2 linked regions of the Pelodiscus sinensis genome follow. The protein of the gene in region 1 interacts with the protein of each later gene in a pairwise test. Links are inferred from orthologs where the notes say so. Each region holds a gene or a part of one and is shown in the gene's direction. Other genes may lie near its edges.

Region 1 (7,748 bases):
CCTTCCCTCACTTATGTACCACCCATCAAATGACATTAAAGGTTTAATGCCAATCTGATTACCACACTGCCAACTTCTTAACATTTCTTGGAAATTTCACAGCAAAAAGCAACAGAAAGGCTACTGGCCAAGAAGTGCCCCAGTTAGAATGGCACAAACATACCCCTATTAATATTTAAATATTAGGGTTTTCATATTGAATTGATAACACAAACACCCTCAATTTGTGGAGAAATACATGCTGAAAACATGACACTCATGAATATGTAAAGCATAAACAATTAATGTTCTGTTAGTAACAGCAAAGAGCTGACTGGGTGTGGCACATCTTTTTTTTAAAAAGTACTGCTAAATTATCAGTACTTAGCAAGTAAAATATTTTTAATCTATGAGGCTGCTTGTCATGTGCCTTACTTCTCGTTTCTCATGGAGGGAGTGTGTATTCTTGAGCCAGGATGTAAGGAGACTCACAAAGGTTTATAGTAGTCACTTGATGGCTGAAGAAAGAATTCCCAGGAAGCTAGGATGGCACATTTGAGAACAGGAGAGGATGCCAGTACAGTTAGCCCCAGAAATTCTGTGTATGTGTGTGACCCCTGCATCCTATTGAATCAACAAATGAAGTGAACTATAGTGCAAGACTTGGGCTGAAAACATTTCCATAGCTCAAATATGTCAGCACTGCTTGCTTGACAAAGCTGCAATGTAAATAACAAATTAAGGCCTGAAGAAGGGCAGCAGAGAGGTCCAAAACCCCAAAATCGCTTAATTTAGATTTAAACCATATTCCATTACTTGAAGACACTATCCAGAATAAAGATACAGCACCATTTCTTTATAAAACATCTCTTCACAAAATATTTTGCACCATATTCTTCACCATGGGATACAGTTAATTCCACTCATTTGATTGTGCCCTACGATAGGAGACTCGGACACTATACTTTGCAACTTTTTCACTGTTCATCTGTACATTCAAATGCATCAGCATCCAATATAACTATTAGTTTTTAGAGAGTTGTGAGCTAGATGGTGGGAGACTTAAAAATATATAAAAATACAATTGATCAAAAACGTTTTCGTAGCAATTAAAGATAGAAAAGACCTAGAAGGTTTTAGTGGCTCTATCAATGACAAATTTGTTCCCTACAGTGTGTGTGTGTGTGTGTGTGTGTGTGTGTGTGTGTGTGTGTGTGTGTGTGTGTGTGTGTGTGTGTGTGTGTGTGTGTGTGTGTGTGTGTGTGTGTGTGTGTGTGTGTGTGTGTGTGTGTGTGTGTGTGTGTGTGTGTGGATATATATGTGCTTAACCTGTCTAGTTTTAAAGAATTTAAACAATGGGGTTTCCATCATGTTCCTGGGAAGACTTTTCCCCTGGCCAAGGGAGGTGGTGGAATCTCCCTCTCTGGAGATATTTAAGAACAGGTTAGATAGACATCTGTCAGGGATGGTGTAGGTGGAGCTTGGTCCTGCCTTGAGGGCGGGGGGCTGGACTCGATGACCTCTTGAGGTCCCTTCCAGTCCTATTATTCTATGATTCTATGATTCTATGAGTTTTCACCTGATGTTCCACTAAAATTTTTCATTATTTAATATCATTCTGTAACTCCTAGTTTTAACTCCTCATATCTCCTACATAATTTTTCTTCCTGCAGAACAATGTTCCCTCTAAGATTTTTCATCAATGTGCAGAATAAATGTTGTTATATGCACCAAGGCACGTGCAGTTGTGTACCACCAATAGAAACACATGCTGCTGGCTGTGGTCAGCTGTTAGCGCTCTGCCTGTCAGCTGGGCAGCGCCTGAATCTCCCCTGGGTAGCCACCCAAGCGCTCAGCTTACAGGGAACACTGCTGCGGAGAGCCCATCCTTCTAAGGCAAAATTCCCATTGACTACAAATGGGACTTTTGCAGCAATATAACACAGAATCTGATTCCTGTTATTTATACCCTTCAAGTAATGGCTGACAGCTACTACATCTCACTACAGTTGTCGTTAAGCCAGTTTCTCTCTTTAGGCCTGATCCTGTGCCCATTGAAGTCAATGACACTGTTCCCATTCATTTTAATGGTGAAATTATTAAACTGAAGCCTGTTCTCTCATCCAAATCATAGAGGGTTGTGCCAAGAAGCAGGAGCAAGATTGTATGTAATTCAACTATTCTGGTAATATTCTATTCTATCTACTTTAGGGATGTAAAGGGTTGACCTGGTAAACATGTGCTTTACCAGCATGCTTATTGGGGTAACCAGTTAACCAGTGGGAGGTTCTTCCAGCCGGGTTTGGCCCATCCAGAGCAGATCCCCTGCTCACAGTGAGGTGTGGTGGAATCGTCCTGACCTGGCCAGAGCAGCCCCCTGGAACGAGGTGTACAGATAGTGCGGAATGGCTTGCTAGTTTGAACTATCTAGCCCGTGTCGCGTGTAGCCGCGCGGCACGGGGTTCGAACAAGCCGGCATTTAAAAATGGCGCCAGCCGGCTTATGCAAATGAAGCCCGGGAAATTCAAATCCCGGGCTTCATTTGCAAGTGCGGTATGCCTACATTACCCCGCTAGTTCAAACTAGCGGGGTAGTGTAGACATACCCTATTTTTCAGTATTTGTTTCATGTTTGATAGCCCTTCACATAGAGTAAGTGTGACTTTGTTTTAGCTGATGTGCAGGAGGAATCAGCACAGGGATTCTCTTCCCTGCTTAAGTGCAGCCACCAGAGACTCTGGGGCTGTGTCTAAACTGGTAAGTTTTTCCTCAAAATCATCTGCTTTTGCAGAAAAACTTGCCAGCTGTCTACACTGGCCACTTGTATTTCCGCAAAAGCACTGACGATCTCATGTAAGATTGTCAGTGCTTTTGTGGAAATACTGTGCTGCTCCTGTTCGGGCAAAAATCTTTTTCTGAAAGACTTTTGCACAAAAGGGCCAGTGTAGACAGCTCAGATTTCTTTTCCGCAAAAAATCCCCGATCGTGAAAATGGCGATCGGGGCTTTTTTGTGGAAAAGCGCGTCTAGATTGGCCACGGACGCTTTTCCGCAAAAAAGTGCTTTTGCGGAAAAGCGTCCTGCCAATATAGACGCGCTTTTCCGAAAATGCTTTCAATGGAAAACTTTTCCGTTAAAAGCATTTCCGGAAAATCATGCCAGCGTAGACGTAGCCTGGGTGCCTGTGCCAGACCAGTCATTCTTTCTCCCCAATTTGGATCACCACAAGCAGTAGCTCAGCTTATGCACAAGCTTGGTGAGAGCAAAGAGGCCTGTGAACACCACAAGCTAACTGAGAACACACCCAGAATGAGCACAGCCAGTATGGGGCATGTCTCAGACATCAGCACTCGGTTTGGCATTTGCTTAGTTCACTCCCCTCTGCACACGCAACTGGTATGGCACAGCATGCATCATGACTCCCAGAGAAAGGGAGTCTGCTTTCCTCCTTAAACCCTAGCCATGCTCCATCTTGCACTTGCCCCGAACCTGGCCTCCCTGTCTGGGCATGAGACCCTCAGCTTTGTAAAGCACATAGATACCCCTCCCCACAGTATGAGAGCCAAGGCAGAGAGTCTAGATGCTATCCACAGGGCAAGGAAAAGGCATGCAAAATGTTCTGGCCCCTTTTCTCTAGTCCCCTCCTCAGTGACTCCTTCCATGTCTGAATCTTCTATTTCACCCTCTCATCCCCTCCTCTCCTTTGCCTAATCCTCCCTGCCTCTTGCTTACCCTCCTCTGTTCTCCCACCCTGCCACCTAAGTCCCTACTGACTCTGCCTCTTACTGACAGGGTTGCCAACTCTCCGGGAGACTCCCAGAATGGGTACCCATCTCCTGGTGACTATTGAACCATAGAGTAGATTTTCATAGGGGCTGCGTCTAGACTAGCAAGTTTTTCCGCAAAAGCAATTGCTTTTGCGGAAAAACTTGCCAGCTGTCTACACTGGCTGCTTGAATTTCCGCAAGAACACTGATGATCTCATGTAAGAAATCAGTGCTTCTTGCGGAAATACTATGCTGCTCCCATTCGGGCAAAAGTTCTTTTGTGCAAAGCTTTTGCCCAAAAGGGCCAGTGTAGACAGCTCAGATTTGTTTTGCGCAGAAAAGCCCCGATTGCGAAAATGGCGATCGGGGTTTTTTTGCGCAAAAGCGCGTCTCAATTGGCACGGATGCTTTTCCGCAAAAAGTGCTTTTGCGGAAAAGCATCCGTGCCAATCTAGACACTCTTTTCCGCAAATGCTTGTAACGGAAAACTTTTCCGTTAAAAGCATTTGCGGAAAATCATGCCAGTCTAGGGTGGTTTAAGAAAGCCAGGTTACTTCATATGGGGGGGGAGGAACAAGTCTAGGAGTAGCTTCAGTCAAGAGTTGGCAACCCGACTTACTGACCCTTCCCCCACACCATGCCTCCTACAGACCCCCATCTGTTCTTTGTGCCCTCCCCGCCCCCGCCTCCCCCAGCCTCCCGCCCTGACCCCTCATTCCGAGCCACTGGCCCCCACTGCAGAGCGCCCCGGCCCGCCCGCAGCCTTTGTGAGCAAGTCGGGCAGGGAGTGGAGGGAGGGACCCCGGCGTCCCGGCCCGGCCCCGCCCGGCGCGGGGGAGGGGGCTCTGTGCCGGGCGGGGCAGGGCTGGCTGGCGGCAGAGCGGGCCGAGCTCGGGGCGTGGCGGGGGTATAAATACCGCCGCGGGCAGACGCTGCCGCTCTCCTTCGCCTGTCGCTCTCGCAGCCGGACCCTGCACGCCTGGGATTACAAAGCTCCGGCCGGCCGCCGCCATGAGCACTACCAAGACCTCCTCGTACCGCAGGATGTTCGGGGGCGGCAGCCGCCCCAGCACCTCGGGCAGCCGCTACGTCGTCTCCTCCAGCCGCTACTCGCTGGGCAGCGCCATCCGCCCCAGCAGCAGCCGCATGGTCTCCTCCTCGCCCGGCGGCCTCTATGCCACCAAGTCCTCGGCCCTGCGGCTGCGGAGCAGCCTGCCCCCCTCGCGGCTCCTGCACGACACCGTGGACTTCTCGCTGGCCGATGCCATCAACACGGAGTTCAAGGCCAACCGCACCAACGAGAAGGTGGAGCTGCAGGAGCTGAACGACCGCTTCGCCAACTACATCGACAAGGTGCGCTTCCTCGAGCAGCAGAACAAGATCCTGCTGGCCGAGCTGGAGCAGCTGAAGGGCAAGGGCACCTCCCGCCTGGGGGACCTCTACGAGGAGGAGATGCGGGAGCTCCGCCGGCAGGTGGACCAGCTCACCAACGACAAAGCCAGGGTGGAGGTGGAGAGGGACAACCTGGCCGACGATATCCTCAGGCTGCGGGAGAAGTGAGTGCCACGGGGCGGATGGGTGGGGAGGGGGCGCCCAACCTCGCTACTTCCACCCAAGAGCTGGGGGGAGGGTCGAAGATGCAGTCGGTACCCTCAAAGTGTGAGAAACTTCCTCCCCTGCGCCTGAGAACAGCTGGAAGCTGTTCTGAGGCTTCAGCATCAGGGAGGTGGCGGGAGCGCACAGATCCAACCCACATGGTTAACTAACGGTTTGGGCACGCCTGAGCTAATTTACCACCGTGAGCCAAAACAAGGCTGATGTGTATTAGTCACGGGCTCTTCTAGTACAGATTAAAGTTCAGGGAGCAGGATTTCGTGGAAAACCATCACGAGTGGTTACCATCGTCTGAGAATCCCAAAGTTCAGTCTGATATTTTAAGACCATGCAGTCAAAAAAATTACAAAAGTTAGCTTTGCCACTCATCTGAGCCCTTAAACTTAATTGTGTTGCTCGGAGACTCTTACAAGTTTTTGGTGGCTTTACACACCAAAGTTTTGAAAGTCAATCAGCTTCTTTAAATATTGCTGCCTAACAGAATTTGAATTTACCAAAAGAGGGTTTAAAATCAACCCAAATCTAGGTCAGCCTCTTGTTGCTCATTAGCTGAATAAGCATTAACGGTTTTGGCACTGCTTGTGTTAGGCTGTCTGTGGATTTCAGACTGCTGCAACAGCAGAAAGCTGCAAAGCCCAGTCATGCAAACTTAATAAAGAAGGCACAGACCAGAAAAATGTCAGAATGAGATGCCTTTTCTGAGAGGCCCCATCTTCCCCCTCTGGGATGTTGGCTGGGTGTGGCTACCAGCTGGATTTTACCAGATCCTAGTGCTGAGGTTCTCTTCTCTCCTGCCCCCCACCAAAGTTAATAATCTATATGGTACTATTTTCAGGTTGCAAGATGAGATGATTCAGCGAGAAGAAGCTGAAAACACTCTGCAATCTTTCAGACAGGTTTGTAGTAATTTTTGTATATTAAAATGAGTGCACTGAATGTAAATTCAAATGTGTAACATTGATATAATGTTGGATGTAGGGCCACCTAGTGGTAAAAAGCAACTTGTAAAATTGCAAGACTTCTCTCAGTACCTCCAGGAAGTTTATCAAGGGATCTGCCATTCCTTTAGTCTAGACAATGCTAAAATTAGAAACAGTTAAGTTTTAAAGTAGCTAGAACATATAGCAGGTCTGATTTTTGAACAAATTTGCAATGAACAAATTGAAATAGAAATGTTGTCTTGTATGAATAGGGATAATGTCTGACCCATCATGTGAAACCTTAGCAGCAAATATGCAAGATTTGAGGGGCTGGCTTTTTAGTCAACGTGCAAGTTCACATGTAATAACTACTTGTTTTTCGGTGGGGTGGGGGTGATGCCTACATGGGCAAGGGAACTGCTATTGTTGGCTTTGTCCAAGACTAGCCAATTCTACAAAAGCACTCCAATGTAGAATCACTTTCTGATCCAATAAGGGTGAAAGGGAGCCATCTGCTCGCTTGGCTGAAGGGTATTAATGGTTTCTATGGGATTCACTATGGAATGCAGATACAGGCATTATGGCAAGTGTGGTGGCAGCAGATTGAAATAATAGAACTCTTTGTATTGAAGAGTGGCTTGCTGTAGGCTGCATTCTTACTGAATGTGTAATGATGTAAGCGTAGTTAAAGTTTTATAACACCAGTTATTTTAGATATGGCCCGTCTTGATTCAAAATACCTACTACAGGAAGAACTTGCCTCAACATATGAGAATTTTTTCATATTAAGGTTTTTCTACTTACAAGTCAGATAATGCTGTCTTTCTTGCTGTGCCCACATTTTAGAGGGAGGTCATGACCAGGGATACTAGTTTTCCATGATAAACCCAAAATTCTGACTAAAACCATGAATCTGCAATTAAAATGAGATGCTAGCCTTTGGTTTTCCTAGCCACTATATACATCCATTGAACACAAATTATGATTGAATTCTGAGTTTGAAAACTGAGTGCCTGCTATAAATAATAGAAAGTTAATAGAATTCCAAATTTTTTCTTGAACATGCTGATACATGTGTACTTGATATAATAAAGCTTATCCAAGCTTCTATTATCCCGTTTACCATCTTAACCAAATTACCAGCAGCCTGAAGCCAATTGTCTGAGCCCTCATCTTAAAATAGCAATATTCTTTGCCAATTCTTCTAATATATCCACATTTTTGATTTTCTGATCTGCCCCAAACCCCAATTACATTAAGTAGGGTTTCACAGTGTGATTTACATTCTGTCAAACACTACTAATGATTCTAACTCCCTTATCTGTGCCTCAGTTTACACATTTTACAGCTGTGGGGAATAACTTTGTTGGTAAAGTTATTTGAGAACTACTGTGTAAACGCTACCAGAAGTGTTCTTGCAAGCTCAGACTTTGTTACCAAAATGTCTAACTTGGACTATATATTTAGTTG
Region 2 (7,564 bases), on another chromosome or scaffold:
AGGGGAATTTTCTTTTTTGATGGTGTAAGTTCTGTAGTTTCTGCAGAGTGTAGCTCTTTTACTTTTAGGACTTCTGACAGCATGTCCCACAATTCATCCCTCTCAATGTTTGGAAGGCACTTCAGATACTTAAACCTTGGGTCAAGTACTATAGCTATCTTAAGAAATTTCACTTTGTTACCTTCTTTGGCTGAACAAGAAATAAGACTGAGTGGACTTATAAGCTCAAGCTTTATATATTTTTGGTTTTGAATGCAGTTATGTTAAAAAAATTTACATTTTTGAAACTGCAAGTGCACGATAAAGAGATTGCACTACAGTACTCTTATTAGATGAACTGAAAAATACTATTTTTAGTCTTTTTACAGTGAAAATATTTGTAATAAAAATAGTAGTGTAACATTAGCTCTGTACACTTTGTATTCTGTGTTGTAATTGAAATCAATATATTTGAAAGCAGAGAAAAATCCAAAAAGATTTATAATTTTAAATTCATATTCTGTAATTGTTTAAAAGCAAAATTAAAACTATAATGAATTGCAATTACTTTTTTATCTTGTGATTATTTTTTAATCATTTGGCATCACTGAAGATACTGTCAAATGTTCAACAGTATGGTAGCACTGTAAAAAAAAAATGAACATTTTAGCTCATTCTCTGGCCTTCGCAGATTTCCCACAAGGGCAGACTCTGAATGTATTTTTTCTTTGAATACAACCAGAGAAATTGAGTCAAGTCTGTTTCCTTTTAACATCCAGATGTACATTCTTTTAAATAGTAAATGCCTCTAAACTATTTTCTAAATTGTAACTGCAAAGTAACTTGCACCTATGAAAATAAATGGTAGTTTGAAAGATCTTGTTCAGGAACAAAGATATTTATTTAATCTGAAAATATGTGTGTCTGCAGTTCCATATTACAGATATAATAAGACATGGGTTTGCTGACATTTGTCGCAAATGCTTTAGAATAAGAACTGGAAGAGAGCAGGTGCCCATATGAAACAGAAATATACCCAGCAGTTGGAGTATAGAAAACTGTCAAAACAATATCTGTCTAAATATGCATTATAAAAAAAGATGAACTGCACATGAACTTGAAGGATTGTTTACATAAACAAGTAGAGCTTTTGAGTATAACAAGCCATTTCTTCTAATCAGCCCAGAATAAGAGGGTCTATTATCACCTATCATCTACTAACTTACATTTCGGACACTGTTATTTTCTTTTAGTGATGGGGAAACAATATGCAAGACCAGTTTCTGCCATAAGTTATGCAGTATTTATTGGCAAGCTATGCTGTAATTTAGGAGAGAAAACATGTTATAAATGTCTATCATAGATTTCCAATGTGACCTTGAGCAAGTTGCATGATGTAACCTTTCTGTGACTCTGTTCCCCCAACTGTAAATTGTGAATAATATTCCCCTCCCTTATAGAGGTGTCCGTAAAGTCATGGGGGTTGCACAGTTGCAATTGTATTTTCTACCAAACCCCTTTTGCGATTGGAATTTAGTTACCGAGTCTGCTGGTGTATGAAAAGTAATAGAATACAGGAATTTTTTTTTTGTAGCCATGTTGACTCTGGTAAATCTTTTAAGAGGAGTAAATCTTTATTCTCGTCACAAAGGGCTAGATCGTGCCCAGAATAGGGGGACCATGTGCAGTTGCATTGCCTCACTGAGAGTTTGAGGAGACACTTAACAGAAAAAAATTCTCTGAACTCTCCGACTTTAATGGGAACATGCCTGCTATTTCATTCTTTTCTTGGAGGCAATTTGCTAGCTGGGTGTCTCCATTCTGCTGTGCATGCTGGTTGGGGGAGCATGCTTTTCCCTCGGGGCAAGCAATTTTGCCTGGTCTTTAAACAGGCTAGAGACAGGGGAAGGCTTCTTGTGCCCTCCCAATCACAGCATGCCCATGTAAGAGTCATGTATACTCTGCCAGTGGTGCCAGCCACACTGGGATCTTGTCTGCTGAATAAGTAGATGCTATTTTAAAACAGTCATTTTCAGGTAGAATCATACTTTAAAAGTAAAATGGAAGGCTCAAATTCTGCCCTCAGGCAAAAACCCCATTTGACTTTCAGGGAGCTGCATAGGGTCAATGCAGAAACACATCTCCTTCATAGTCCCATAAATTTTCATTCTAATCTTCTAATACCCTAACTGACTGCAGGGGAGCTACAATCCTTAGACACCTTTTTGTGTGGCTCACAACATAGACTTCAGTTTGCCTTAGGTCTGGCTTCCTACTGAGTTGCATCATTTTATTCACAGAGCTAACCCTCAAGACCTTGCTCTGTTTTTAGTCGGTCCTCATTCTGACTTGAAGGCAAATCTCAAGTGAATGTCAGTAAAAACTGAGGTCACAATTTGTAAGAGTCTGTGTTTTAATATTTTGTTTCACAGCACTTGGATGACAATAGGCACCAATTTAGTAAAATTTAAATAAATACATTGGAATGATAGTCTATATTTAAGGAACTATAGGATTAAAAGTTCTTAAGATCATACTCCGCCCCTCCTTTTACACCTGTGCAGCCTTGTTGACTCCATTGAAGTTGTGAGAAGAGGGTTGGATCCATAATCCTCAATTAGGGGCTCAGTCCTGCTCCATTTTACATAGGCACAGCTGAGTTGTTTGAGTGTAACTGAGGGCAGAAAGTATCTCTGGGGTTTTAAACAAGAAGGATTTTTAAATGAATGGGCTGAGGATTTTCCTCAGGAACCATCTGTCACATTCAATCATCTTTCTTCTTTCTAAAAAATGGCTTTTGAAACTTGTATAAACAGTCCGAGTCCCATGGCACATCTTTCACAGGGGCAGAGTAAGCACCCAAGTAATATCTTCACTTAGTCTCTGACCATATAAGGAGAAAAAATGTATTTTCACTGCAACCAACTTTGGTGTTGACTGTAAAATGCACCCTCAGCTGAAACTCTTCTATTGTACATTTGTTTTAACATAGGCACACCTTGTCATTCCAAAGGGGGAAAGTGCTGAGTAAGTGATCCCCACAGCGCCTAGGCAGACTATCTCCTTGATCCCACAAGCAAATGCTATTGTTTGTAAGATGCTCAGATTCTGCTCTGGAGGGCCTGAACATTGTTCCCATTCAAGGCAATTAGAATAGCACTCACATGCCTAATAGCAGATGCCCACCAGTCTTCTGTTCAGCACTGCCAGAAGCCGCTGCATACATCTGGAGATGAGCCATGCACAATATAAGTCAATGCAGGTTGCAAATGGTTGAGGGCACAAGTAATCTTAGACCCCAACCTCAGGGTGTAAGCAGAGGCCATCTCAGTTGTAGTTCCCCAGCACAGATAAGCTCCTGAACCACTACTGGTGAAATATGGAAGTGGGGGCAGAAAAGAGACATGTCTCCATTTTCCTGATGCTTTGCCGATGGCAAAGTAGTATGCATCCCGCTCCCCCATACTTGCACACCTTGGGGCTCCTTGGGTCAGATCCCTGCCAAAGTTCCTGCTGAGATTATGTAGGTCCACACCATATCCAGAACAGATCAAATACCAAATGAGCATGGAATTTATAATCTACAGTGAAATGCAACAACACTATTCAATTAGATAGGCAAATACAAGGATTTGTCACAGTGGGCTAGATTCTCTACCCCACTCCATTCAGGCTCCATGGAGAGTAGGGGTATGGTGGTTGTAGCTCCCTAATTCTCCGCTGTCTAGCACCAGCCTAGGTCAGTGTTGCAGAGTAGCAGCTCAAATTTATATAGGCATAAGGTACTTCACTAATGTTACACCTGTGGAGGATATTTGGTAGCAGACCTCAACTTAATCATACACACCCTTTACCTCAAGCCTATCTTGTTTGTCTCCTCCCTCCTCTTGTGCCAGGGTTGTGGGGTGCAGCTGAAACAAGAGACATCTTCCATCATCTCTCCCAGGTTTCTGCCAGCGAAGGGATGTAAAGTAGTAAAAATATTTGTATATATTTTGAATGAGTCATTGTCAGCATTCCTAGAATACAAATAAGATCGGATTACACAATGAGTTGTACTGTCTTATTTCAGAAATGATACTATAATTGAATACAAAAAATAAAGCTTTTAGGGTGGGGGAAAGTGGGTGTTTTAGGGGAGCTGTGGATCATGAAAAGTTGCTCTTATAAACAAATGTACTTTAACAACACAGCTCCTAAAGAACTTAAAATGTGCCCCTCAAAACTGGGTGTGGAATGTAGAAAAGAATCCTACTTTAAAACACAGGGTTGCCTTTAACTAATAAAAGAAATCTAAAATTGTCCATTGTCATAGCTTTAACATTGACATTGGTTGCTTTGGCAAGCTTTAAATACTAGGCTGCACTATAAAACCTAAAAATGTCCTGGACTTGAAGTTGTTTACACAAAATATGAGCAGATATAAAGTTACAGAGGTGGGGGTGGAAGAAATGGCTTTAAAACCATCCTCCATGTACTGACGTCACATGGAACCCAGCTGCCGGGAGGATGCCAAATAGAACTGTTTTTCAGTTTGCAAAACTGAAGTTGTGAAGTTAATCAAAGAGAGTTGCAGTGCTGCTCCGATTGAAAAGTTCTCTCTTTCCTGGCTTCTTGTTTTCTTAAAGGATCAGGATTCACAGAACTGGAACTCCTTATCCCATCTAGCTATGCATTTCACTGCTTTCACTACTACACTGAGAAATGGACTGAAAAACTTCTGAAGGATTGCTTACTCCACAAAAGGTAAGGACGTTTGGAAATCTCAGTGATTTTGGAAGAATTATGGCCTTATTTATGAAATAGAAAAGAAAGTTAACAATACTCAGTATTAAGGCAGTAAACAGTTTGACCAAGGTTTCTTGTAAACATCTGCCTCATTTTTATATTTGCACCTAGAGCAATAATAATTTAAAAGTGTGATGGTGGTTGTTTATTTCTTAAAGAAAGGCTGTTCCATGGTTCAGCCAGTGTTTCCAAACCATGGAATGATTTATTAACAAGAAAGAGATGACAGCCCATTTTTGCCAACCTTTTGTTTTTAAATAATAGAATGACACTCTGAGAGTTTCTTATAGGTTTAATACAAAGTGCATAAAAACTATGATGCCGACCATTTCTTTACAAATATATAAATAGACCTATCATTTATTATCCATCCAGAAACCATCACCTTATCTTACTGTGAATTAACCACTCATAAAAAAGAAGAAGATCTGTTTATCTGAATAGCTGTGTATGTCCGCTATCGTTAATCTGTGGTGAAAAATAACACCTCTTCTGATGTCGCAGCACATTATTTTTAGAAGTTGTCATACCACATCAGAAATTCAGTTCAAATTATTTTGCATTTTTATATGAACATAGAGGGGAGGTGGAGGGAAGAAAGAGTAACATTAGAGACCAGGAGTTGCCTAAACTCTTTATTTGAGAGGAGGAAAGGGTACAGTGAAAAGATAAATACAGCTGATGTTGACAAAATTGATTATTTGCATAAAGTTGATTGCTGTAATGAGCTTTTGACCTTGTCTAGGACATGTGGAAAGTGCCAATATAGCCAGATTTCAGACACTGTAATGTTCCACAAGGCAAATGAAAATCATGGTTGTGCTGGGGTGATAGGCTTTCACATGTGAAAGAAAAAGGTATTTTAATAAAAAGGAAGCAGGGTTTTTTTTTCATTTGTTTGTTTTGCTCAAGCCATGTGGAGTACCTGTGGGAACAGCCCAGTGTTTTATACAAATGGTGAGTTTAATAGCAGTATTAGCGATTGGGATCTTATTTCTAGCTTTCAGAGAGAAAGAAGCAAAGAAAGAGACAACTATAGGGGCAGGGGTCAAAGTCCTCTGAGGCAGTGTTTCTCAACCTTTTTTTTAATAAAGTACCCCCTCTTTAAATAAATATATATATATATATATATATATATATATATATATAGAAATATATATATATATATATATAAAAATACCCCCAGTACCTACAGTTTTCAGACACACAATTTTTTTTCTACTATTGCAACACATTTGTTTAAACAACTTAATCATAGCCGGGAAGGCAATGACATTTTTGGGTGTAAAAAGTACAAAAATAATAAAACATTGTAAAATTTAAAACAAAAATTCAGTTATCTCCAAATTTCAGTTGTGCTGACATACCCCTTCCTCCCCCAGACTTCTCTTGAGTACCTCTAAGGGTACTCATACCACTAGTTGAGAAACACTGCTCTAAGGAATTTACTCGGTAGATTTACTGCAGTAGCGGCCATCAGAGCAAACATCAACAATCATGAGCTTCACTATTATTATTTGCATCTTAAGAGGAAACGTGAAGGGAATAAGAAGTGATATGAAAAGGAAAAGAAACCATGAATGAGAGAGAGAAGCACTTTTGATGGAAAATTACAGTTACAAGCAACTAGTTGCAGCTAACTTTTTCTGGGACTTCATTGCATTTTGATAGTTTCCACTCTGTACCCATCTCAATATGTCTTTAGTTTGTTTTTGCACTGATCTTTGCTGCATGTATCTGAATCATTCAAGAGAAGTCAAGTGAGTGAATAGAGAGATCAGTTTGGTTAATTCCTCCGAAGTCTCTTGAATAAGTTAAAAACGTCTATTAAAAAAGTGAATTACTTCTGGTATGTCCTTCTCCTCCCCAATCTTCCTTCCCCCACAACTTTTGTAGTAAATAAATGAAAAAAAAATTGATATGACTAGATATGCTTCATAGATTGAAACAGATATTCAATATATTGAGTTCAGTTGGCTGAAAAAACTCAGAAAGTGGGTGCTGCTCATGTTGCGGATCCAGCCAAATCAATCTTTTTTGCCCAATAAAGGGGTGAGGAGAGCTTTGCATGAGGCTCAAAAGGGAATTACAAAATTAGATGTAAACTAGTCTACTATATATTTGAGAGAGTTTGTGCATCTGTTTGTCTGTCCATCTGTGCATCTGTTTGTTCAAGAACTCCTCCTGAACCATAAGAGTTAGGACTACCAAATTTAGTCTGCAGCTTCCTCTTATCATAATTTAAAGCAAGGTCAGATTTTTGGTTGTTCCAGGACAATGGGATGTGCATGGATTGTGATTGTTTCTCATCAAATGGAACAAGGGGGCTGTGATAGCAGGAGAGTTATACTCCAGAATAACCACAGAGGGGGAGCAAGCAAGCATGCCCCCAGCAGCCTCTGAGAGCCACAGAGCAGCTGCCATCTGGGCAACATGGCCCCCATTGGCCTCAGGGGGCAACACTATCACCCTCTAGGACCCAAGCAACACCAGGTAATTCTTTTAGTAATCACTACATTAAAGGAAACATGTTCAATAAAGGGAGTAGTTCTTCGTGATCTTACAAATTACATTGACACAACCACTGATCACGAACCAATGCAATCTGCAAGTTTATTGTGAAAAGATATGAATATATATGTTCACTTGATTAACACAACTGTCTGTTCTGAAACCCAAATTTAAGGAACACACAAACTGAATACAGTACATCGTACCATGTATGACTACTGAACTGTCACTCCCTAGAATGCATTAATTGATGTGATTCTCACCTTTTGCTTGTGTAAATCAGTAG

The links. The genes of interacting proteins can lie anywhere in the genome.
Region 2: the proteins of VIM (region 1) and KIAA0408 interact in binary tests that used the Homo sapiens proteins (3 or more experiments, as listed by UniProt). The link is inferred for Pelodiscus sinensis from reciprocal best matches to the Homo sapiens genes VIM and KIAA0408.

The regions. Positions count from the first base shown.
Region 1 is NC_134712.1:218,778,052-218,785,799, forward strand, and holds the start of VIM (vimentin), read left to right. Parts: upstream 1-4,671; 5' UTR 4,672-4,755; coding exon 4,756-5,300; intron 5,301-6,193; coding exon 6,194-6,254; intron 6,255-7,748. UniProt on the Homo sapiens protein: Vimentins are class-III intermediate filaments found in various non-epithelial cells, especially mesenchymal cells. Vimentin is attached to the nucleus, endoplasmic reticulum, and mitochondria, either laterally or terminally.
Region 2 is NC_134713.1:90,711,948-90,719,511, reverse strand, and holds the start of KIAA0408 (uncharacterized protein KIAA0408 homolog), read left to right. Parts: upstream 1-4,461; 5' UTR 4,462-4,725; intron 4,726-7,564.